Linked DNA regions of Saccharomyces cerevisiae S288C. The gene in region 1 interacts genetically with each later gene. Each region holds a gene or a part of one and is shown in the gene's direction. Other genes may lie near its edges.

Evidence for each region.
Region 2: mutations in PTC4 (region 1) and SPO74 together harm fitness more than expected from each alone (negative genetic interaction), as found in Saccharomyces cerevisiae (one large-scale study listed by BioGRID).
Region 3: mutations in PTC4 (region 1) and INM2 together harm fitness less than expected from each alone (positive genetic interaction), as found in Saccharomyces cerevisiae (one large-scale study listed by BioGRID).
Region 4: mutations in PTC4 (region 1) and SUL2 together harm fitness more than expected from each alone (negative genetic interaction), as found in Saccharomyces cerevisiae (one large-scale study listed by BioGRID).

The regions. Positions count from the first base shown.
Region 1 is NC_001134.8:486,699-489,920, reverse strand, and holds PTC4 (type 2C protein phosphatase PTC4), read left to right. Parts: upstream 1-1,540; coding exon 1,541-2,722; downstream 2,723-3,222. Other genes in the region: alpha,alpha-trehalose-phosphate synthase (UDP-forming) TPS1, read left to right, coding at 1-1,016.
Region 2 is NC_001139.9:183,101-189,364, reverse strand, and holds SPO74 (Spo74p), read left to right. Parts: upstream 1-3,970; coding exon 3,971-5,212; downstream 5,213-6,264. Other genes in the region: Ca(2+)/Mn(2+)-transporting P-type ATPase PMR1, read left to right, coding at 1-1,749; HUR1 (Hur1p), read right to left, coding at 1,569-1,901; SUA5 (threonylcarbamoyladenylate synthase), read right to left, coding at 2,026-3,306; RNA-dependent ATPase ROK1, read right to left, coding at 5,281-6,264. UniProt on the Saccharomyces cerevisiae protein: Involved in the pathway that organizes the shaping and sizing of the prospore membrane (PSM) during sporulation. Probable component of a core structural unit of the scaffold that initiates synthesis of the prospore membrane.
Region 3 is NC_001136.10:1,033,310-1,038,992, forward strand, and holds INM2 (inositol monophosphate 1-phosphatase INM2), read left to right. Parts: upstream 1-2,685; coding exon 2,686-3,564; downstream 3,565-5,683. Other genes in the region: ZIP1 (Zip1p), read left to right, coding at 1-1,754; MGP12 (Mgp12p), read right to left, coding at 1,922-2,266; Smc5-Smc6 complex subunit NSE3, read left to right, coding at 3,886-4,797; RTT103 (Rtt103p), read right to left, coding at 4,971-5,683. UniProt on the Saccharomyces cerevisiae protein: Responsible for the provision of inositol required for synthesis of phosphatidylinositol and polyphosphoinositides and involved in the inositol cycle of calcium signaling.
Region 4 is NC_001144.5:320,586-328,153, forward strand, and holds SUL2 (sulfate permease), read left to right. Parts: upstream 1-2,958; coding exon 2,959-5,640; downstream 5,641-7,568. Other genes in the region: XDJ1 (Xdj1p), read left to right, coding at 116-1,495; GEP5 (Gep5p), read left to right, coding at 1,712-2,593; NYV1 (Nyv1p), read right to left, coding at 5,928-6,673, 6,815-6,830; GIS3 (Gis3p), read right to left, coding at 7,145-7,568. UniProt on the Saccharomyces cerevisiae protein: High affinity uptake of sulfate into the cell.

The DNA.
Region 1 (3,222 bases):
ATTTGATGTTGGTTCCGGAAATGTTGAGAGTCAAGATTCACGAGAAGCAACTGCAAAACGTTAAGGTCGGGTGGTTCCTGCACACACCATTCCCTTCGAGTGAAATTTACAGAATCTTACCTGTCAGACAAGAGATTTTGAAGGGTGTTTTGAGTTGTGATTTAGTCGGGTTCCACACATACGATTATGCAAGACATTTCTTGTCTTCCGTGCAAAGAGTGCTTAACGTGAACACATTGCCTAATGGGGTGGAATACCAGGGCAGATTCGTTAACGTAGGGGCCTTCCCTATCGGTATCGACGTGGACAAGTTCACCGATGGGTTGAAAAAGGAATCCGTACAAAAGAGAATCCAACAATTGAAGGAAACTTTCAAGGGCTGCAAGATCATAGTTGGTGTCGACAGGCTGGATTACATCAAAGGTGTGCCTCAGAAGTTGCACGCCATGGAAGTGTTTCTGAACGAGCATCCAGAATGGAGGGGCAAGGTTGTTCTGGTACAGGTTGCAGTGCCAAGTCGTGGAGATGTGGAAGAGTACCAATATTTAAGATCTGTGGTCAATGAGTTGGTCGGTAGAATCAACGGTCAGTTCGGTACTGTGGAATTCGTCCCCATCCATTTCATGCACAAGTCTATACCATTTGAAGAGCTGATTTCGTTATATGCTGTGAGCGATGTTTGTTTGGTCTCGTCCACCCGTGATGGTATGAACTTGGTTTCCTACGAATATATTGCTTGCCAAGAAGAAAAGAAAGGTTCCTTAATCCTGAGTGAGTTCACAGGTGCCGCACAATCCTTGAATGGTGCTATTATTGTAAATCCTTGGAACACCGATGATCTTTCTGATGCCATCAACGAGGCCTTGACTTTGCCCGATGTAAAGAAAGAAGTTAACTGGGAAAAACTTTACAAATACATCTCTAAATACACTTCTGCCTTCTGGGGTGAAAATTTCGTCCATGAATTATACAGTACATCATCAAGCTCAACAAGCTCCTCTGCCACCAAAAACTGATGAACCCGATGCAAATGAGACGATCGTCTATTCCTGGTCCGGTTTTCTCTGCCCTCTCTTCTATTCACTTTTTTTATACTTTATATAAAATTATATAAATGACATAACTGAAACGCCACACGTCCTCTCCTATTCGTTAACGCCTGTCTGTAGCGCTGTTACTGAAGCTGCGCAAGTAGTTTTTTCACCGTATAGGCCCTCTTTTTCTCTCTCTTTCTTTCTCTCCCGCGCTGATCTCTTCTTCGAAACATCATGAATAAAAAGAAAAAGGAAATCAAGAAAAAAAAGCCATAATTTATCCCACATTTTTTTTTATTGTCGCTGTTCACACCGCATAACGAAGATATTGGCTACATAAACAATTGACATTGGATCTCTAGTTTTACGTTGTTTTCAACTGCATCTTTTTCTTCTTTCTTAGCACGGAGCCCTTACGTCTTCTTTTCTATCCCATCGCCCTTTTTGCCTCTATTCTCCCCTATATAGCCATTTTAGAAAGTAACTTCAATTTGAAGAAGACAAAAATGGGTCAATTGCTTTCCCATCCGTTGACGGAGAAGACCATAGAATATAATGAATATAAAAACAACCAGGCGTCAACTGGTATTGTTCCACGATTTTACAATTGTGTGGGGTCCATGCAAGGCTATCGTTTGACTCAGGAAGATGCACATCTAATTAGAAATGAAAACTCTGTTGTGTACGTACGATTTTTCAACCCATTCATAGACAAATACGAAACCCTGTCATTGAACGTCTTCGCAGTATTCGATGGTCATGGTGGAGATGATTGTTCGAAATTTCTAAGCGGCGGCCGCCACCATCGCGATGGTAACGGCAGTAGCAACGGTAATGGTGAACCCAACGCTGGCCTGATCAAATGGATTGCGTATAGTTTCGAAAACCACCATTACACATCTACAACTAATAACGACTCATCAAAATTTAAAAGATCCTTCAATACGTTGGAAGGACTTGTTTCTCAAATTTTTAAAGACGCTTTCATATTGCAAGATGAAGAGTTATATCGACATTTTGCCAACAGTTCGTGTGGATCTACAGCAGTAGTAGCATGCATCATAAACGAGGAATCACTGTATGTGGCTAACTGTGGTGATTCGCGATGTATTCTTTCCTCCAAATCGAATGGCATAAAGACGATGTCTTTCGATCATAAGCCACAACACATAGGAGAATTGATACGTATAAACGATAATGGTGGTACTGTCTCTCTTGGAAGAGTGGGTGGAGTACTGGCTCTCAGTAGGGCATTTAGTGATTTCCAATTCAAGAGAGGTGTCACTTATCCACATAGAAGGACAAAACTAACAAATATTACCCAGAATTTAACTTATGGAACCCCACCACAAGAAGCACAAGTTACCGTTGAACCAGACGTATTGATGCACAAGATTGACTATTCTAAAGATGAGTTTTTAGTACTGGCTTGCGACGGTATATGGGATATTTATAACAACAAACAGTTAATTCACTTTATAAAGTATCACCTGGTATCAGGGACGAAGTTGGATACAATAATAACAAAATTGTTGGACCACGGGATAGCGCAGGCAAATAGCAATACTGGTGTCGGCTTTGACAATATGACTGCCATCATTGTAGTGCTAAACCGGAAAGGCGAAACATTGCAAGACTGGTTTAATAAAATGAAGACCCGTTTGGAAAGAGAAAGGGGCCTAGTGTAAGGAAAAAAAATTATTTTTCTTCTTCCTTTTTCTCATACATATCTGAACGTGTGGTTAATGTGTCTGTGTATTAGTGTATAGGATCAACTGCTTGGGAGATGAAATAACAAAAGTACCTTAAAACGACCTCATTATCACATTTTTTTTTTTACTTTATTATTTTATTGTGCTTTTTAGTGTTGTAGAAAACCAAAGCAATCCTTTTAAATGAATTTTTATATACATACGTGTATATGAATATGAATATGAGTTTACCCCATCTTTAAGCTCTGCTGTGTTTTGGAAATAAATTCACATATTCATGTTTAGTTTTCCTTTTACATAATTTGGTCTTAGTACAGAGAAGTCCTCTTCTTCGCTTCTTCGCTTTTGGTCTTTCTGAAAAAGATCGATAAATAACATCCTAAAGACAGGAACTGAAAGACAACACAGAAAAGGTATACCAAGGGAAAAACATAATTAATCTCTATAGCTTTCAAGAGCGAAAATATCTTCCAAAT
Region 2 (6,264 bases), on another chromosome or scaffold:
TGCTCCGACAAAACAGGTACACTAACCTCAAACCACATGACCGTATCTAAACTTTGGTGCTTGGACAGTATGTCCAATAAGCTAAACGTCCTCTCATTAGACAAAAATAAGAAGACTAAAAATTCTAATGGAAATTTGAAAAACTATTTGACTGAAGACGTTAGGGAAACTCTAACTATCGGTAATCTCTGTAATAATGCATCTTTCTCTCAAGAACATGCCATATTTCTGGGAAATCCTACTGATGTAGCTCTTTTAGAGCAATTGGCAAACTTTGAAATGCCTGATATCAGAAACACCGTTCAAAAAGTTCAGGAACTTCCATTTAACTCGAAAAGAAAATTAATGGCAACCAAGATTCTCAACCCTGTCGACAATAAGTGTACAGTTTATGTTAAAGGTGCATTTGAAAGAATTCTTGAGTACTCCACAAGTTATTTGAAATCAAAGGGTAAAAAAACTGAAAAGTTGACTGAAGCCCAAAAAGCTACGATAAATGAGTGCGCAAATTCTATGGCATCTGAAGGTTTGCGTGTCTTTGGATTTGCTAAACTAACTTTGTCTGATTCATCAACTCCTCTAACCGAAGACCTAATCAAAGATTTAACCTTTACTGGTTTAATCGGTATGAATGACCCACCAAGACCGAACGTTAAATTTGCCATCGAACAATTACTACAAGGTGGTGTCCATATTATTATGATCACTGGTGATTCTGAGAATACCGCAGTAAACATTGCAAAACAAATTGGTATTCCAGTTATTGATCCAAAGCTTTCCGTTTTATCCGGTGATAAATTAGATGAAATGTCAGATGATCAACTGGCCAATGTCATCGACCACGTTAATATTTTTGCTCGTGCTACGCCTGAGCATAAGTTAAACATTGTTCGTGCATTAAGAAAGAGGGGTGATGTGGTAGCAATGACTGGTGATGGTGTTAACGACGCTCCTGCGTTGAAACTTTCAGATATTGGTGTTTCTATGGGTAGAATTGGTACAGATGTAGCCAAAGAAGCCTCAGATATGGTCTTAACTGATGATGACTTCAGTACTATTTTAACTGCCATTGAAGAGGGTAAAGGTATCTTTAATAATATTCAGAATTTCCTGACTTTTCAATTGTCTACTTCTGTTGCCGCACTATCATTAGTTGCACTATCTACAGCGTTTAAACTACCCAATCCACTGAACGCAATGCAAATTCTTTGGATAAATATTTTAATGGATGGGCCACCAGCTCAATCCTTAGGTGTGGAACCTGTTGATCATGAAGTTATGAAAAAACCTCCAAGAAAACGTACCGATAAAATTTTGACCCATGATGTAATGAAACGTTTACTAACCACCGCGGCCTGTATCATCGTTGGGACAGTTTACATTTTTGTTAAAGAGATGGCCGAAGATGGTAAAGTAACTGCTAGAGATACTACTATGACATTTACTTGTTTTGTTTTTTTTGATATGTTTAATGCTTTGGCCTGCAGACATAACACAAAGTCAATCTTCGAAATCGGCTTTTTCACGAACAAAATGTTCAACTACGCCGTTGGACTGTCTCTGTTAGGTCAAATGTGCGCTATATATATACCATTTTTCCAAAGTATCTTTAAAACTGAGAAACTTGGTATCTCTGATATACTATTGTTATTGCTCATCAGCAGTAGCGTTTTCATCGTTGATGAATTGAGAAAATTGTGGACGAGGAAAAAGAATGAAGAAGACTCAACGTATTTCTCAAATGTTTGATATGTCACATTTTGTGCTTTTATCGTTTTTCCTTCCTTCCCTTTATCTTTCATGAGGACGCCCAACCCTATTGAGGTAAATGTACTAATTAATGGGAACATATGTAGATGTATATATGTACATATATTTACAACGGATACTAAGATAAACATGTATGGGCGACTTTTCGTATATACAAAGCAATATAAAATTTTATTCTTTCCTTCTTTTTCCGGACTAGATATAAAATCTCCGTAATCAGTGGTTATGATTTTCAAAAGTTAATCACAGTTTTATTTAAAACTGTATACAATTATTTGCAGCCGCCTTTCGCAATCTGTTCATAACAGCTAATCCTTCTCCTTCCTCATTTATACCTTCGACAAATATTAGGTCTACTTTATCATTTTCATCCACTTTTCTTAAAGCTGCAAACAAGTTAGTCTGTATTTCTTCACCAGATTGGCCAAGTCTTTCGATGATGAAAGTTTTCGAAGAAAAATCGGGTTCATTAAAGATCTTAGATTGTAAGTCGGAATCACGTAATTTTAGGGAAGTTAAAATCGCAATTTTTTTTATATTACTGTTGGCTTTTAATTCCGTTTCGATTAACCTCTTTAATCTTTCCATCCTATCAACGCCCTTAAGAATGCCATCGCCTTCGCAATGAGGAACTAGTAAAACAACTTTAGCTGAAGGGGAATAGTGTCTATACTTCATACCAGGCGTTCTTACCTTTTCGCCCTTTTCAACTGTTTTCTTATTCTCAACTTTACAAAGAGACCAAGCTTCACCACCCAATTTAACAATTTCTTCATATGTAAAACCGCCAGGTCGCAGTAGCGTAGGAGGATTACATAACCCATCAACAACAGTACTTTCTACACCAACCTTGCACGCTCCGCCATCAAGAATTATGGGAATTTTATCCTTTAGATCATGATAAACATGAGACGCTAAAGTAGGAGATGGCCTAGTAGACGCATTCGCTGAAGGAGCAGCTATTGGTGTATCGCTCAGGGCAATCAGTGCTCTAGCCACTGGATTAGCGGGTATGCGTACCGCAAACGTAGGCTGATCTGCGGTCGTTAACTTTGATAATGCACTATGCTCTGAAGATGGAACTGGCAAAAGAATTGTTAATGGGCCAGGCCAAAGGCTTGAAATTAATGGGCGATAGATTGAGGGTATGTTATCAAACAAGGATGTACCTGATAGATGCGGTTGATTAAAGACCTTTCTGTTAAGTTGATCAATGGATGAAACATGTGTAATCAAAGGATTGTCACTAGGCCTATTTTTGGCCCTGTATATACTAAGCACTGAATTATCATTTAAAGCAGAACCTCCAAGACCATAAACAGTTTCGGTTGGAAAAGCCACAGTCTCATCTGTATCTCTTATTATCCTCGCCGCTTCAACTAGCGCTGCTTCCGTTTCAGGATCTGTTATCGTTGGTAAGGAACCATCTATATGCGCATCAGGGGAGAAAATGATTGATAGCGGGTTAACTTTTAAGATCTTGGTATCAAACAGTGCTTTCGATGTCATTGCCAAAAAATGTCGTCCAAGGTACATACAATTCTAAAAATGGAATAATAAACAGGACTACCATTAAAAATGGAAACAGGTTTAGTGGTAAGTTAACAGCGCAGAAGAAAAAAAAAATTTGAGGAGAAGAATAAAGCTCTCGCTTCAAATATTATCAGCTTCAATAGGTATGTGCGATGAGGTTACTATCTTCTGGGTGAAAAAATAGTAAGGCTAGCGTAGATAATGATTTGAAATTTCTCAAAAAAATATTTTTGATACATATAATAATTTTGAAGCCTGAATTTTTCAACGAAATAGCCTTGTTGGCGCAATCGGTAGCGCGTATGACTCTTAATCATAAGGTTAGGGGTTCGAGCCCCCTACAGGGCTATCTTTTTTAGGCTCAAATCAAAAAAATGTCTAATATATTAAATTCTACTTCCTTTTTATATCTCAAAGAAGAAGGCATTTAACCCCATTCATATGGTTTACACTTGTGTTGAGATTTGTTGCTTGCGCTTCTTTTATCCTTTTAAACCGCTTATTTATCCTTTCCAACGATAAGGCTCAAATGACATCAATGTTCTCTTTTGTGTCACAAGAAATATAAATAACAACAATAAAACATTAGGTATTTAGTTGGAAGTCAAACTTGAAACTCTTCCCGGTTATGTTGTATTGGCAAGGAAAGAGCTGAATTGGTTGAGTGATGGGAGCTGGCACTCTTTTAAATGGATTAGAAAAGGAAAACTTTCCAAATAACATCCATTCAGATTTGCCTGCGTATCCTAACATGGATTCTCAAGAAGATGGCAATACTAGTAAGGAAAGTAAAAGAAATAGTCCAGTAAAACAGAAGTCCCAAAAAGATGAAGAAAAGTCATCTAAAATGGGGACTGCAAGCAACATATTCCATGAAAATAAAGATATACACGAAAGATCTGAACACACGGACGATTTTAATGATGGCTTAAAACTGGCTCCGGACTCTAGTCCAAGCTTGAAAGAGTGTCAATTTAAAAATTGGGAAAGTTTTTGGTGTAATACAGAAGGTTACAAAACTAAACACATGCAGCCCTTTCATTTTACAAGCGGATTAGAAGAAATAAAGGAACCGGTCATGGAATTGAATATTTCCACTTCACCATACAAGGGACAGAGGCCAAATTCAGCTCCAACCGAGTATTCAGCTGCCACAACAGCGTTTACCAAAACACAATTAGAGGTGAGTTTTCTAAAAACCAACTTGCTTACATACATTAAAAAAGAGATTGACATTTGCTTGTCAAGTGTTCCATTTTTTGACGACGCAGTTCAAATGCAAAAGAAATTCTTGGAATACAGAGATATTGACTTGGATGAAGAATATGAGCTCAAAATTTTGGGGGAACTTTTGAATGATTTAAACTTCTTTCATATGCAAGAAAACTCTTTGCTAAATAGAGAGCTAGCAGTTCGTAGATTCTCCAATCAACCTGAAAGTCAAAATTTACCTTCCATTAGGGATTTTAGAAATCCACTTTTGCCAATAGATAACCGCCCTTCTCCCCCATTAGGATTGAAAAGAAACGGAAAGTCTTTCGAGGAAACCTATGATTTCACGTCCAATACATCAAATTTTTGGGGAGAAAAAGCAGAACTACAAAACTCCATAACTGGTGGAACACCCTATTTTTTCCACCCTAACAATATACATCAAACAAAACCTTTTATGTCATTTGAAAATCAAAATGAACTTCTATTCCAGAGAAAAAATTCAGATTACAAGCAGCATTTTAACTCTGGAAGAAATATACATAATGGAGTGGAATCGAAATCTTACAGAGGTGTGGGGTTAAACGATAGTTATCAAAAGGGTTATGCAGCAATGACAAAGTCGTTTGGAAATATCGATTTAAATAGAATGCCCAGAAGAAGTAATGAAGAAATGTATAGCTGGTCACGTAATTGATCAATGAAAGTAAATAAAAAAAACTACTAATCATATATACATGTCTTGCATACGCACGTTTGTTTATATTATTTCGAGAAATGTTTTTTTGAAAGTTCTTCATTTTTTCTTCTTTTGGATGCTGCAATCATTTCTTGTTGACGTCTTCTTTTGGCCTTATCCATCTTAGGCACAGTAGTAATCTGCTTTCTTTCTTTATGCGCTTTACCGTTTTTTATACTTTCTTTCTCCTTTCTGGTCATTTTAGCCATTTTATCCATCCACTCAGATACTTCACAACCACTTTGTTTCATGACATTTATTATTGGTTTAATAGCTACTGAGTCTTGTTTAGTATAGAATGTGATAGCTTTACCTGACCGCCCACCTCTACCTGTTCTACCAATTCTGTGAACATAAGCCTGAGACGATCCTGGAACGTCATAATTGATGACCAGATTGACACCTTTGAAGTCAATACCACGAGCTAAAACGTCGGTACAGATCAAACACCATAATTCACCAGTTTTAAATCGTTCAATAATCCTGTCTCTTTGTAAGGCTGTTCTTTCTGCATGAATCACATCTACGTTAATCCTATCGTACATCAATTCATGATATAACGCTTTTGCTCTTGTAATAGACTCTAAAAATATTATGATCGGTGGCTTGAACTCACCCTCTTGAACGAGTTGTCTAATAGCAATTAGTTTACCCTCTTCATTACCACAAAATATTAATTTTTGTTCAATATTTGTATTTGCTGCTTCCTTGTGGCCAATAATAACTCTAACAGGATCCATCATTATACTTTGTGCAATCTCTTCTACATTGGATGGAATGGTCGCAGAAAACATCGCTTTACGCAACGATGGCTCTCTACAGGCGCTCAAAATATCGTCACTCTGTTCAACGAATGTTTTGTCAAACAATTTATCAGCTTCATCAAATATCAAATGCTTAACTTTGGAGAGATCGAGAGCTTCGTTTTTCACAACATCGATTAGTCTTAATGGGGTAGAAATGATTATATCATATTTCTTATCACTAACTACCTTGTTTTTCAATTTAGC
Region 3 (5,683 bases), on another chromosome or scaffold:
CGGATGCAGAATTAATGAAAAAAGGTAAAGAGATTGAATACCTGAAAAGAGAACTAGATGATTGTTCAGGTCAGTTGAGCGAAGAAAAAATCAAAAACAGTTCCTTAATACAGGAAATGGGAAAAAATAGAGAAGAAATGATTAAATCAATTGAGAATTTCTTTTCAGAAGATAAAGCACACCATTTACTGCAATTTAACAAATTCGAAGAAAGAGTTCATGATTTGTTTGAAAAAAAATTACAAAAGCACTTCGATGTGGCAAAAGATACCCTTAACGTAGGCTTGAGGAACACCACTGTAGAGTTGAGTAGTAATACAGAGACCATGCTAAAGCAGCAATATGAAGATATCAAAGAAAATCTTGAACAAAAAATGTCATCCAGTAAGGATGAAATGGCAAAAACAATAAATGAGCTGAGTGTAACGCAAAAAGGACTTATAATGGGAGTACAAGAAGAACTATTAACGTCATCAGGGAATATTCAAACTGCTTTGGTAAGTGAAATGAATAACACAAGGCAAGAGCTTCTTGATGATGCGTCTCAAACAGCCAAAAATTACGCGAGTTTGGAAAACTTGGTGAAGGCATATAAGGCAGAAATAGTTCAGTCGAATGAGTATGAAGAAAGGATAAAACATTTGGAGAGTGAAAGGTCAACTTTGTCTTCACAAAAAAATCAGATTATTAGCTCTCTTGGTACTAAAGAAGCACAATATGAAGATTTGGTCAAAAAGTTGGAGGCGAAGAATATCGAAATTTCACAAATTTCTGGCAAAGAACAAAGTTTAACTGAAAAAAATGAAAACCTTTCTAATGAACTGAAAAAAGTCCAGGATCAACTAGAAAAACTCAACAATTTGAACATCACAACAAAATCAAATTACGAAAATAAAATATCTTCTCAGAATGAAATTGTGAAGGCTTTAGTTTCCGAAAACGACACTCTGAAGCAAAGAATTCAACAGCTAGTAGAAATCAAAGAAAATGAACAGAAGGATCATACAACCAAACTGGAGGCTTTCCAAAAGAACAATGAGCAGCTACAAAAGCTAAACGTCGAAGTAGTACAACTGAAGGCTCATGAATTGGAGCTTGAAGAGCAGAATAGGCACTTAAAAAATTGTTTAGAAAAAAAGGAAACTGGTGTTGAAGAATCACTAAGCGATGTAAAAACCCTAAAACAGCAAGTGATAGTTCTGAAATCGGAGAAGCAAGATATAACAGCTGAAAAGTTAGAACTTCAAGATAACCTCGAAAGTTTGGAAGAAGTCACCAAAAATTTACAGCAAAAGGTGCAATCGCAAAAGAGGGAATTAGAACAGAAGATTAAAGAGCTAGAAGAGATAAAAAACCATAAACGGAACGAGCCTAGTAAAAAAGGTACACAAAATTTTACTAAACCATCAGATTCACCCAAAAAAAATGCTACGACGTCCAACTTATTTCCTAATAACTCTGCTGCCATTCACTCTCCTATGAAAAAGTGTCCTAAGGTGGATCATATAAGTAAGTCAAGAATTAATTCATCCAAAGAAACATCCAAATTTAACGATGAGTTCGATCTTTCTTCATCATCAAATGACGACCTAGAGTTAACCAACCCTTCCCCAATCCAAATTAAACCAGTGAGAGGAAAAATCAAGAAGGGTTCAAATTGCATGAAACCTCCAATTTCTTCAAGAAAAAAATTACTACTAGTAGAAGACGAAGACCAGTCATTAAAAATAAGCAAGAAAAGGAGAAGGAAATAGAGGATAATGGAAAATTTGAAATCGTTTTGTGCGAATACATTTCATTTTGTTCCCTGCGTAAGAAGTATGCATAGTAAAATTAGCGTAGATATAGTTTTTTGAGGTATATACTTATTCATAGCTTATAAATATTTACAGTGTTGTAACTCTAGTAAAAACAAAAGAGGTCATCTAGATTGCATTCTCCTTATTTTATCACTGATATCGTCTTCTTCAAGAAAGTGCAGGATCTTGGTGCACGACTTAGGATCACCAACTTTCTCAATATGAAGTACTGGTATGTCGAAGCAATATTCCTTCCACCATTTTGCGTTTCTTCGGTCAGTTATGTTGACTATCTCTAGTGAAACTGCTTTATTATGAAATTCCTTTCTTTCAAATACATCATCTATCACTTCCTTTGCTTGATCGCATAACCCACAATTAGGCTTTGAGAAGAAAGTTAATTTCACTCCAGCATCATGTAACAATACCCTCGAAGTATGTATAGAACAGCGGAACGCTCTCAACATGGTGATATGTTCCTTAAGTTTTATGTCTTACTGAATAATTACGAATTTCTGTTATGAATTAAACGAAACTTTACAATGCATCAACTCCGAACTCTCTACGGAAAGGTAACAACTTGCGCACATCATAGACCCATAAAGCGAAAAAAAGGGAAGTCAATCACAGTTATATTGACATTCCAAAGCCAGTAACTAAAAAACTACAAAAATGGATTCTCACAGTCATATTAAGTGACCTCTTATTATTTCCCTTAAAACGGTAATTCTTAATAAAGAACGTCAGTGTTCCGAGTGATAACGCCGTGAAGCACCCTGCTTCATTACATATGAAATCGTGGGGAGAAAAAATCGTGAAAACAATATAGAGAATAAGTGAAGTTGAAGCTCCACAAGCCCTTGTAAAGTAAACTTAGATTGAAGCGATGGTATTAACGAGGCAAGTACTAGAGGAAGTGGAGAACACATTTATTGAATTACTTAGGAGTAAAATAGGACCTCTCGTAAAATCGCACGCAGGAACAAACTTTTGTTCATATGATGATAAAGCAAATGGCGTAGATTTGGTAACTGCTTTAGACAAACAAATTGAATCTATAATCAAGGAAAATTTAACGGCCAAGTATCCCAGTTTCAAATTTATCGGAGAAGAAACTTATGTAAAAGGTGTCACGAAAATAACTAACGGCCCTACATTTATTGTTGATCCCATCGATGGTACTACTAATTTTATTCACGGTTACCCCTATAGTTGTACATCTCTAGGTTTAGCTGAAATGGGGAAGCCGGTTGTTGGTGTGGTTTTCAATCCTCACTTAAACCAACTATTCCATGCTTCCAAAGGCAATGGAGCTTTCTTAAATGATCAGGAGATAAAGGTTTCAAAAAGGCCATTGATTTTGCAAAAATCCTTAATTGCTTTAGAAGGAGGTTCGGAAAGAACTGAAGGTTCCCAAGGAAACTTTGATAAGAAAATGAATACTTATAAAAACTTACTAAGTGAGTCCGGCGCCTTTGTTCACGGGTTCAGAAGTGCAGGAAGTGCTGCCATGAACATATGCTACGTAGCGAGCGGCATGCTTGATGCTTATTGGGAAGGTGGCTGCTGGGCTTGGGATGTTTGTGCCGGTTGGTGTATTCTTGAGGAAGCAGGAGGAATAATGGTTGGCGGAAATTGTGGAGAATGGAACATTCCATTAGACAGAAGATGTTACTTGGCTATTAGAGGTGGATGTGAGTCGATGGAGCAGAAGCGATTTGCAGAATCGTTTTGGCCTCACGTTGCGGGTGAGTTAGAATACTAAATGCCCCCCTCAGGTGTCGTTAAATAAGCTACATCTAAGAAAAGTTTATATAGTACTTCACGCAATTCCTACTAGTATTTTTTTCCAGTACAGGACGATATCTTGAAGCAGCAACTTGATTTCACAGGTCACTTAGTGTGGGCTTCTGACTCAAGAATAGCAAGTATTACATGCATGCGGCCCTCTCCTTTAACAGCGCGATATACGTGAAGAAAAATTTCAATGAAGAGTAATGCGCTTATTATCAACTTCGATTGAAGGGGTCCTATATCAGTATGCTACAAGGGAAGGTTGTTCGATAAACATAAGCTTCTCATTAGCATGAGTTCTATAGATAATGACAGCGATGTGGATTTAACAGAAGATTTAGCCGTGGCCAAGATCGTTAAAGAGAATCCTGTAGCTAGAAAAATGGTTAGGTATATTTTATCGAGAGGAGAATCTCAAAATTCGATCATAACAAGAAACAAGTTACAATCTGTTATACATGAAGCTGCTCGCGAGGAAAACATAGCAAAACCGTCTTTTAGTAAAATGTTTATGGACATAAATGCTATACTGTATAACGTATATGGGTTTGAATTACAAGGATTGCCGTCAAAAAATAATATGAACGCTGGCGGTAATGGAAGCAATAGCAATACAAATAAATCAATGCCTGAGCCACTGGGACATAGAGCCCAGAAATTTATCTTGCTAAACAATGTCCCGCACTCAAAAAATTTTGACGATTTCAAGATTTTACAAAGCGCTCACACTTATGAAGAGCTAATAGTTACCGGAGAGTATATTGGTGACGATATAGCTTCAGGAACTTCCAATACCTTAGAAAGCAAGTTGAGTACAGATCGAGATCTTGTTTACAAGGGTGTTTTGAGCGTCATTTTATGCATTGTTTTCTTCTCTAAGAATAACATATTACATCAGGAATTGATCAAATTTCTAGAGACATTTGGCATTCCAAGCGATGGTTCAAAGATTGCTATACTGAACATTACTATTGAAGATTTGATAAAAAGTTTAGAAAAGCGCGAATATATAGTCAGATTGGAGGAGAAATCCGATACCGACGGGGAAGTGATATCATACAGGATAGGTAGAAGAACTCAGGCTGAGCTTGGACTAGAGTCTCTTGAAAAATTGGTGCAAGAAATCATGGGCCTTGAAAAGGAGCAGACTAAAAGTTTGCACGATGATATAATAAAAAGCATTGGCGATTCATATTCTATATAGCATTGCATAGGTGTCCATGTAGTTTAGGTGCGCATCTTTTTTGTCGAGGAAATAGTGAAGATGAATACGAAATAAACTATGGGCAAATAGTTACGAAAAAAGACTGGACTTAAACGGGTTACTATATATTTGTATAAGTTATCTCCTTGTTTTCTTTTTACTCAACCATCATATTAATTTGCAAGCTTACTTAACAAGTCTTGTATACTAGAAGAAACCCCTCCGGAATTCTCAACACCTTCGTCGGTTTGGGCGCCGACGTGGCCTTCTATATCTAACTCATAATGTCCATCCTCACTGTTGAAAGTACCATCTTCACTCGTCTTCGAATCAAGATGAACCTTTTTTTCCGGTATGTCATTAGCGTCATCATGACCTATCATATCATGTGTTCGTTTCATACCAAATTGATTGTCACTAGGATTATGAGTAGAGTTTTTATGTTCGCTATCTGTCTTTTCTACAACTTCATTCTTCTTATCTGTGGTGCTAATATTAGTAACGCCATAATTGCTGTCATTGGATCTATCATCGTAATTTTTGTCATCATCATCATCATCATCATCATCATCATTATCACCATCATCGTCATCGTCATCTCCATCCCCCACTTCATACGTAGGAATAATATTGTCTTCATCAACGTTTTTATTTAATCTGGATGGGTCTTTAGCAGATAAAACGAATTCTATTTCACTTAACATATTCTGTTCCTCATCTAGATGCCTTTTTTCATCGTCCAGTGTGCTTTGCAGTTTATGGATACCGCTTTCTCTTTTTAGAATTGATTCATTTATTATATCTTTAGCCATGTTCCCAATCTTACTTATTGTTTTAAAATTTTCCTCGTAAACTGAGCTGGATGGATCCAATTCATCTGATGATT
Region 4 (7,568 bases), on another chromosome or scaffold:
GGAAGAAGAAAGAAAGGCAGAGAGGCAAAGAAAGAGTCAGGCTTATCTTATCTTAAGAGATATGCCGCTTGGACCCAAAAGAAAGGGAAAAGTAAGTACGCAGGTGTAGTTTTGAATGAGTGGCAGTGATAGAGGAGACCGGTTATACGATGTGTTGGGGGTGACGAGAGATGCGACCGTGCAAGAGATTAAAACTGCTTACAGAAAGCTTGCCCTGAAACATCATCCGGACAAGTATGTGGATCAAGACTCAAAGGAGGTAAATGAAATCAAATTCAAAGAGATCACTGCCGCTTACGAGATCTTGAGCGATCCGGAGAAGAAATCACATTACGACTTGTATGGTGATGATAATGGTGCCGCTAGCAGCGGTGGCGCTAATGGCTTTGGAGATGAAGATTTTATGAACTTCTTTAACAATTTCTTCAATAATGGAAGTCACGATGGAAATAATTTCCCTGGCGAGTATGATGCGTACGAAGAGGGCAACTCTACAAGCTCTAAGGATATCGATATCGATATATCTCTTACTTTGAAGGATTTGTACATGGGCAAGAAGCTGAAGTTTGATTTAAAGAGACAGGTCATCTGTATAAAGTGCCACGGTTCTGGCTGGAAACCAAAGAGGAAAATTCACGTTACACACGATGTGGAATGTGAATCATGCGCTGGAAAGGGTTCAAAGGAACGTCTGAAGAGGTTTGGTCCCGGTTTGGTAGCTTCGCAATGGGTGGTCTGTGAGAAATGTAATGGTAAGGGGAAGTACACTAAAAGACCCAAGAATCCAAAGAACTTTTGCCCCGATTGCGCAGGCTTGGGGCTCCTGTCAAAGAAGGAAATCATCACAGTGAACGTGGCTCCGGGACACCACTTTAACGACGTAATTACAGTCAAGGGGATGGCGGACGAGGAAATCGATAAGACCACATGTGGTGATTTAAAGTTCCATCTCACTGAAAAACAAGAAAACTTGGAGCAGAAGCAAATCTTTTTGAAGAACTTTGACGACGGCGCCGGGGAAGATTTGTATACAAGCATTACCATATCGTTAAGCGAGGCCTTGACGGGATTTGAGAAATTTTTGACAAAAACCTTCGACGACAGGTTACTAACATTGAGCGTTAAACCTGGCAGAGTAGTAAGACCTGGTGACACCATCAAAATCGCCAATGAAGGTTGGCCCATTTTAGATAACCCTCATGGCCGGTGCGGCGATCTGTATGTTTTCGTTCATATTGAATTTCCACCAGATAACTGGTTCAATGAAAAATCAGAACTACTAGCAATAAAAACGAATCTGCCGTCATCTTCATCTTGTGCCTCACATGCGACTGTAAATACTGAAGATGACAGCAACCTGACTAACAACGAAACTATATCAAATTTCCGGATCATTCACACGGACGATCTTCCAGAAGGGATAAGGCCGTTCAAGCCAGAAGCACAGGATTCAGCGCATCAGAAAGCAAGAAGTTCGTACTGCTGTATCCAATGATGGCATCAATAACTTTTTATTCTATTTTTTTTTTTTTTTCATAAGTTATCCTACCTGTATATATGTATATATATGAAATTCATTTACTGAATGCGGTGAAGAATGAAGTCTTTCGCACCTTCAGTAGAAAAATAGGAAGAATCCCCATCGCGGCGGACATAAAGCAAGCATACAAAGGCCTTCTATCAGAACAGCGATTGCGAACTTGGAGCAACAATGGCGTCCCAGGTTAACGCCTTATTACTGCCGGTCATAGAGTCTACGCCGCTTCATCAAATAACCAAGGTAGCATTGACGACCACACTCACAAGTAAACAAAGCGATTACAAGTTCAAAGAAATAGCCGTGCCGTTAACAAAATCACTACAACTGTACGAGAAGGCGCAAAGAAGACAAGATTTAAGGGCAAGCTTAAAAGCACTGGAGAGTATCATTTACCAAACGCACTTCCAATGGAATAACCCGCTCCCACGACATGCGCATCTCTTCCAAAAACACTACCACTTTCTACTGACTCACTGGCCATTTGAGAACCACAGAGACTTGGTAGATTCCATCGCTGTAAACAATGGGAAACTAAATTCAACGTCTTCAAGGAGCGTCTGGCTGAAGGCGGATTGGATAACACTGTTTAACGTTAAAAACCCTTGGGTCCAAACGCCGCCATCGTTAATGCGTCTGAGTGGGACAGATCTTGATACCTTCACACCAGAGAGGATATTCCTGATAAATTCTCTTGGAAACCACTACAAATTTTTAATAGCGAACAGTCATCTAAGCTACAATCACAAAAAATACCCCTCCCCTGGCGTGCAAATTCCTGTCAGGAACGCTCTTGGCGAAGTTTCTCCGGCCAAACAAATTGCCCAACTTTTCGCAAGACAGCTGTCTCATATTTACAAGAGCCTCTTCATAGAAAACCCCCCGCTCTCTCCTGAGAACGAGCTGGCATTGACTGCCGTCTTCTATGACGAGACTGTAGAGCGACGCCTTAGAAGGCTCTATATGCGAGCTTGTGCAAGGGCATATACGACTACTAATGCCGACTCCACCACGGAGCCTTTGATGTTTCATTGCACCCGGTGGGAAGTTGATTAGTTGTTGTTGGCTGTTATACTGGAGTAAATGTCACGTGCCACTGTGGCCGTGTCAGGTCACGTGAAGAGAGAAATTCGGCCACAGTTGTGGTCCTAAACAAGGACTGAAAAAGATCGCAGAAACTAGCAACGTCGGATAGCGGTATGGTTGAACCAAAGTCCAGTTTTTAGTCATAGCCGGTTGAGGGATGATCTGCCGTTCAGTGTTCTGCGTTCAATAATACGCATATATATATATATCAAGGTATCAACACAATACTTGAACAGGTTAGGCTCGTACTAAAGCCTGGAAGTTTTTATCTTTCTGTAACATTTTTCTTTCTTGAGGTGTGTGTGTGTATAGATTAGCAGGGAATTATCTAAGATATGTCCAGGGAAGGTTATCCAAACTTTGAAGAGGTAGAAATTCCTGACTTTCAGGAAACTAACAACACCGTTCCAGATCTTGATGATTTAGAATTAGAGTATGACCAATATAAAAATAATGAAAATAATGACACGTTTAATGATAAGGACTTAGAGAGCAATTCTGTAGCAAAGCACAACGCAGTGAACAGCTCAAAGGGCGTAAAAGGCTCGAAGATTGACTACTTTAATCCTTCAGATGTCTCGTTGTATGACAATTCCGTTTCCCAATTTGAAGAAACAACGGTATCGCTAAAAGAGTACTATGACCACAGTATACGATCTCATCTCACGGTGAAAGGAGCATGTAGTTATCTTAAGAGTGTTTTTCCCATCATCAACTGGCTACCACATTACAATTTTAGCTGGTTTACTGCGGATCTTATTGCAGGAATTACCATTGGCTGTGTTCTCGTGCCGCAATCCATGTCATATGCACAAGTCGCCACGCTACCAGCGCAGTATGGGTTGTACTCCTCGTTTATTGGTGCTTACTCCTACTCTTTTTTCGCTACATCAAAAGATGTTTGTATTGGGCCCGTGGCTGTCATGTCTTTGCAGACCGCCAAAGTCATTGCGGATGTCACGGCAAAATATCCTGATGGAGATTCTGCCATAACTGGTCCCGTTATTGCAACGACTCTAGCGTTACTATGTGGTATCATTTCGGCAGCAGTTGGCTTCTTGCGTCTAGGGTTTCTTGTCGAACTGATTTCCTTAAATGCAGTCGCTGGATTTATGACTGGATCCGCGTTTAATATCTTATGGGGTCAAGTTCCAGCACTAATGGGTTACAATAGTTTGGTTAACACGAGAGCTGCCACCTATAAAGTGGTCATAGAGACCTTGAAACATTTACCAGATACCAAACTGGACGCAGTTTTTGGGCTAATCCCGCTTTTCCTTCTTTATGTTTGGAAATGGTGGTGCGGAACATATGGACCAAGGTTGAACGATAGATACAACTCCAAAAACCCAAGGTTACACAAAATTATCAAATGGACATATTTTTACGCTCAGGCTTCCAGAAATGGTATCATTATTATTGTATTCACTTGTATTGGTTGGGCAATCACAAGAGGCAAATCTAAATCGGAGAGGCCCATCAGCATCCTAGGCTCAGTTCCATCCGGTTTGAAAGAAGTCGGGGTTTTCCATGTTCCACCAGGATTAATGTCTAAGCTTGGTCCAAATTTGCCTGCATCCATTATTGTGTTATTGTTGGAGCATATCGCTATTTCGAAGTCTTTTGGTAGAATCAACGACTATAAAGTCGTCCCCGACCAAGAATTGATTGCTATTGGTGTCTCGAACCTTTTAGGTACTTTCTTCAATGCTTACCCAGCGACTGGTTCCTTTTCAAGGTCTGCTTTGAAGGCTAAATGTAATGTCCGTACGCCGTTATCTGGTTTGTTTTCGGGTTCATGTGTTCTTTTAGCATTATATTGTTTGACCGGCGCATTCTTTTACATTCCAAAGGCTACCTTATCTGCAGTTATCATTCACGCTGTATCTGATCTTTTGGCCTCTTATCAAACTACCTGGAATTTCTGGAAGATGAATCCATTGGACTTCATCTGTTTCATTGTCACCGTCCTAATAACGGTATTTGCCTCTATTGAAGATGGTATTTATTTTGCCATGTGCTGGTCATGTGCAATGCTCATTTTAAAAGTGGCTTTCCCAGCGGGAAAATTCTTGGGTCGTGTGGAAGTCGCTGAAGTTACTGATGCTTACGTCAGACCGGACTCCGATGTGGTTAGCTACGTGTCTGAAAATAACAATGGTATTTCCACTTTAGAAGATGGTGGTGAGGATGACAAGGAAAGTTCCACCAAATACGTCACAAATTCCTCCAAGAAAATAGAAACAAACGTTCAAACAAAGGGCTTTGATTCTCCATCTTCTTCGATTAGCCAGCCAAGGATAAAATACCATACTAAATGGATACCGTTTGATCATAAATACACAAGAGAATTGAACCCGGACGTTCAGATTCTCCCCCCACCAGACGGTGTTCTTGTTTATAGGCTATCAGAGAGCTACACCTATCTCAACTGTTCCAGACACTACAACATCATAACCGAAGAAGTTAAAAAAGTTACCAGACGTGGTCAATTAATTCGCCACAGAAAAAAATCTGACCGTCCATGGAATGATCCTGGTCCATGGGAAGCACCTGCTTTCTTAAAGAATTTGAAATTCTGGAAGAAAAGGGAGAACGACCCTGAATCCATGGAAAACGCGCCCAGCACCTCAGTCGATGTTGAAAGAGATGACAGGCCATTGCTGAAAATACTATGCTTAGACTTCTCACAAGTGGCACAGACAGACGCTACGGCTCTTCAATCATTGGTTGATTTGAGAAAGGCCATAAATCAATATGCAGATAGGCAAGTTGAATTCCACTTTGTGGGTATCATTTCACCATGGGTGAAGAGAGGTTTAATTAGCAGAGGATTTGGTACTCTGAACGAAGAATACAGTGATGAATCCATTGTTGCCGGTCATACAAGTTATCACGTCGCCAGAGTACCTCAAGGCGAAGAAAATCCTGAAAAATATAGCGTTTATACCGCTTCAGGAACAAATCTACCTTTCTTCCATATCGATATCCCAGATTTTGCTAAATGGGATATCTAGCCAATGCATTTACAATGGACATGCAAACATTTATATCATCTCTTTTTTTCTATATTCCTAAACCAAAAAGTTTTCCCCCTTAAAAGTATACATTTAATATCATAATGAGATAGACACTGTTTATATAATAAGAAATAATAGGTAGGATGGTGCCATCGTGAGCATATACATACCTATAAATATTTACCTTATTTTTATTTTATTTTTCTCTTCCTCTCAGGAACAAAAGAAATACAACCGTTATTAATGTTATTGTCGTGGGACAGCTCCCCTTTTTTTTTATTTACTTACCACAGATAGAAAAACATGAAAGCAGCACTTACAAATAGTATAATAGTGAAAGTTAATAACGTAATATTTTTGACCTTCTGCCACCACATTATTTCTTTTATATTGACCGCTTTGCGCCTAAATTTATTACTGCTGCTATTTAGTTGGGAAGTTTTATCCACCAATAAAGAAACTCTTTCTTGTCTCTCCAAGAACTTGTCGATGTTATCGTTCATTATCTGGATGACGTCCTTTATTTGGTCTTCGGTGGCATCCCCGATGTCACTTATAGTGTTCTGACCATTCCCATTACTAGATTGGCCATTTCCAGAACTATTTAAAGTTTGGTTACGGTATTCGACCAGCTCTTCATGGAAAGAGTCTAGTATTTGACCTACATGCGAACTTAAAAGTTCGTTTGTAGCGTTGGACTCGTATTCCTGCAGCCCACTTAGTATCCTGATGGGCAAAATCTTGGGCATATCTACTAATGTGAAGCAAACGTACACAGTTTTGGGGTCATGGTCATCCGTGGAGTAGAAACAATCGAATCCGTCGATGAGATTCATTGACATCTTGGTAACTTTGTTCCCCTTGATCGGAACTACTTTGGGTAATACCATATCCATGATCAAATTATGGAAAATGACCGGCGTTATCTGCTCGTTTGCTGAAGTTATTGTACCATAGTTTTCGTTTTTCTGGAACGGCTGGAAACAACTAGATATTGTTTCACCATTTTTTATAACTTCCACATAACTTACTAAGACCATATGCAAAATCAAGCAAAATGGAACGTTAGTCTACTGAATGTAACATAGTAAAATTATGGCATGGGGGGATGAGCATTCGCATAATCCCTTTTTTAAACATTTGTTAATTGTGTAGAAATATTTATACATACCATTAAAGCGTTTCATTTGGTAAAAATATAAAAGTCCAATGCTCTAACAGCTTAATAAATTGTCGCTTTTCACTCTGTTCTTCAAATTTAATAGCTGTTGCTCCAACTTAGTCAAGTGCTAGAAAATTCATAGAGGGGCTTTTTTTCATCATTATTGTGACCTCATTTTTTCTTTCTTCGATCGTTTGAGGCGAATATTACCCGGGCGCTTGGTGGTAATGCGTTGTTTTAAATATTATATATAATGAATGTGGTGGTAGAATATATAGTTTACTATTTTTAGATAATGCAAATGGGTGGGGTGAAGGCGATGAAAAGGTGGGGGGTCTATCAGAGAAACCTGCTGTCACACCAGCCCTTTACGACATATTGAATCTCTCTCGTAGGTGCGGAAGTCTTATTGGTGACTTTGCCTAAATTTAGTTTTCCGCATGGTTTGAGCATTGTGCCGCCATTGTTGAACCATGGCTTGACGTCTGAGTGTACGCGGACCAAAGAACTTTTCAAATCCGCCGTTGCATGTTCGCTTGCGGATTCACGGCCTTGCGAAGGTTCCGTATTGCTTGTCGTTGCAACAAAGTGCAAATTCCAGGGGGTAGAATCGCCAAAAAGATCATTTCTTGTTTCATGGACCATGTCAGACCATAATTTTTTCCTAGTAATTAGGGCAAGCTTAATATCGTTCGTAGAGACATTTGGCTCCTTTTTGATTTCCAAAGACCGAATTTCGGAATACGTTAGCTGCTTCAACAGA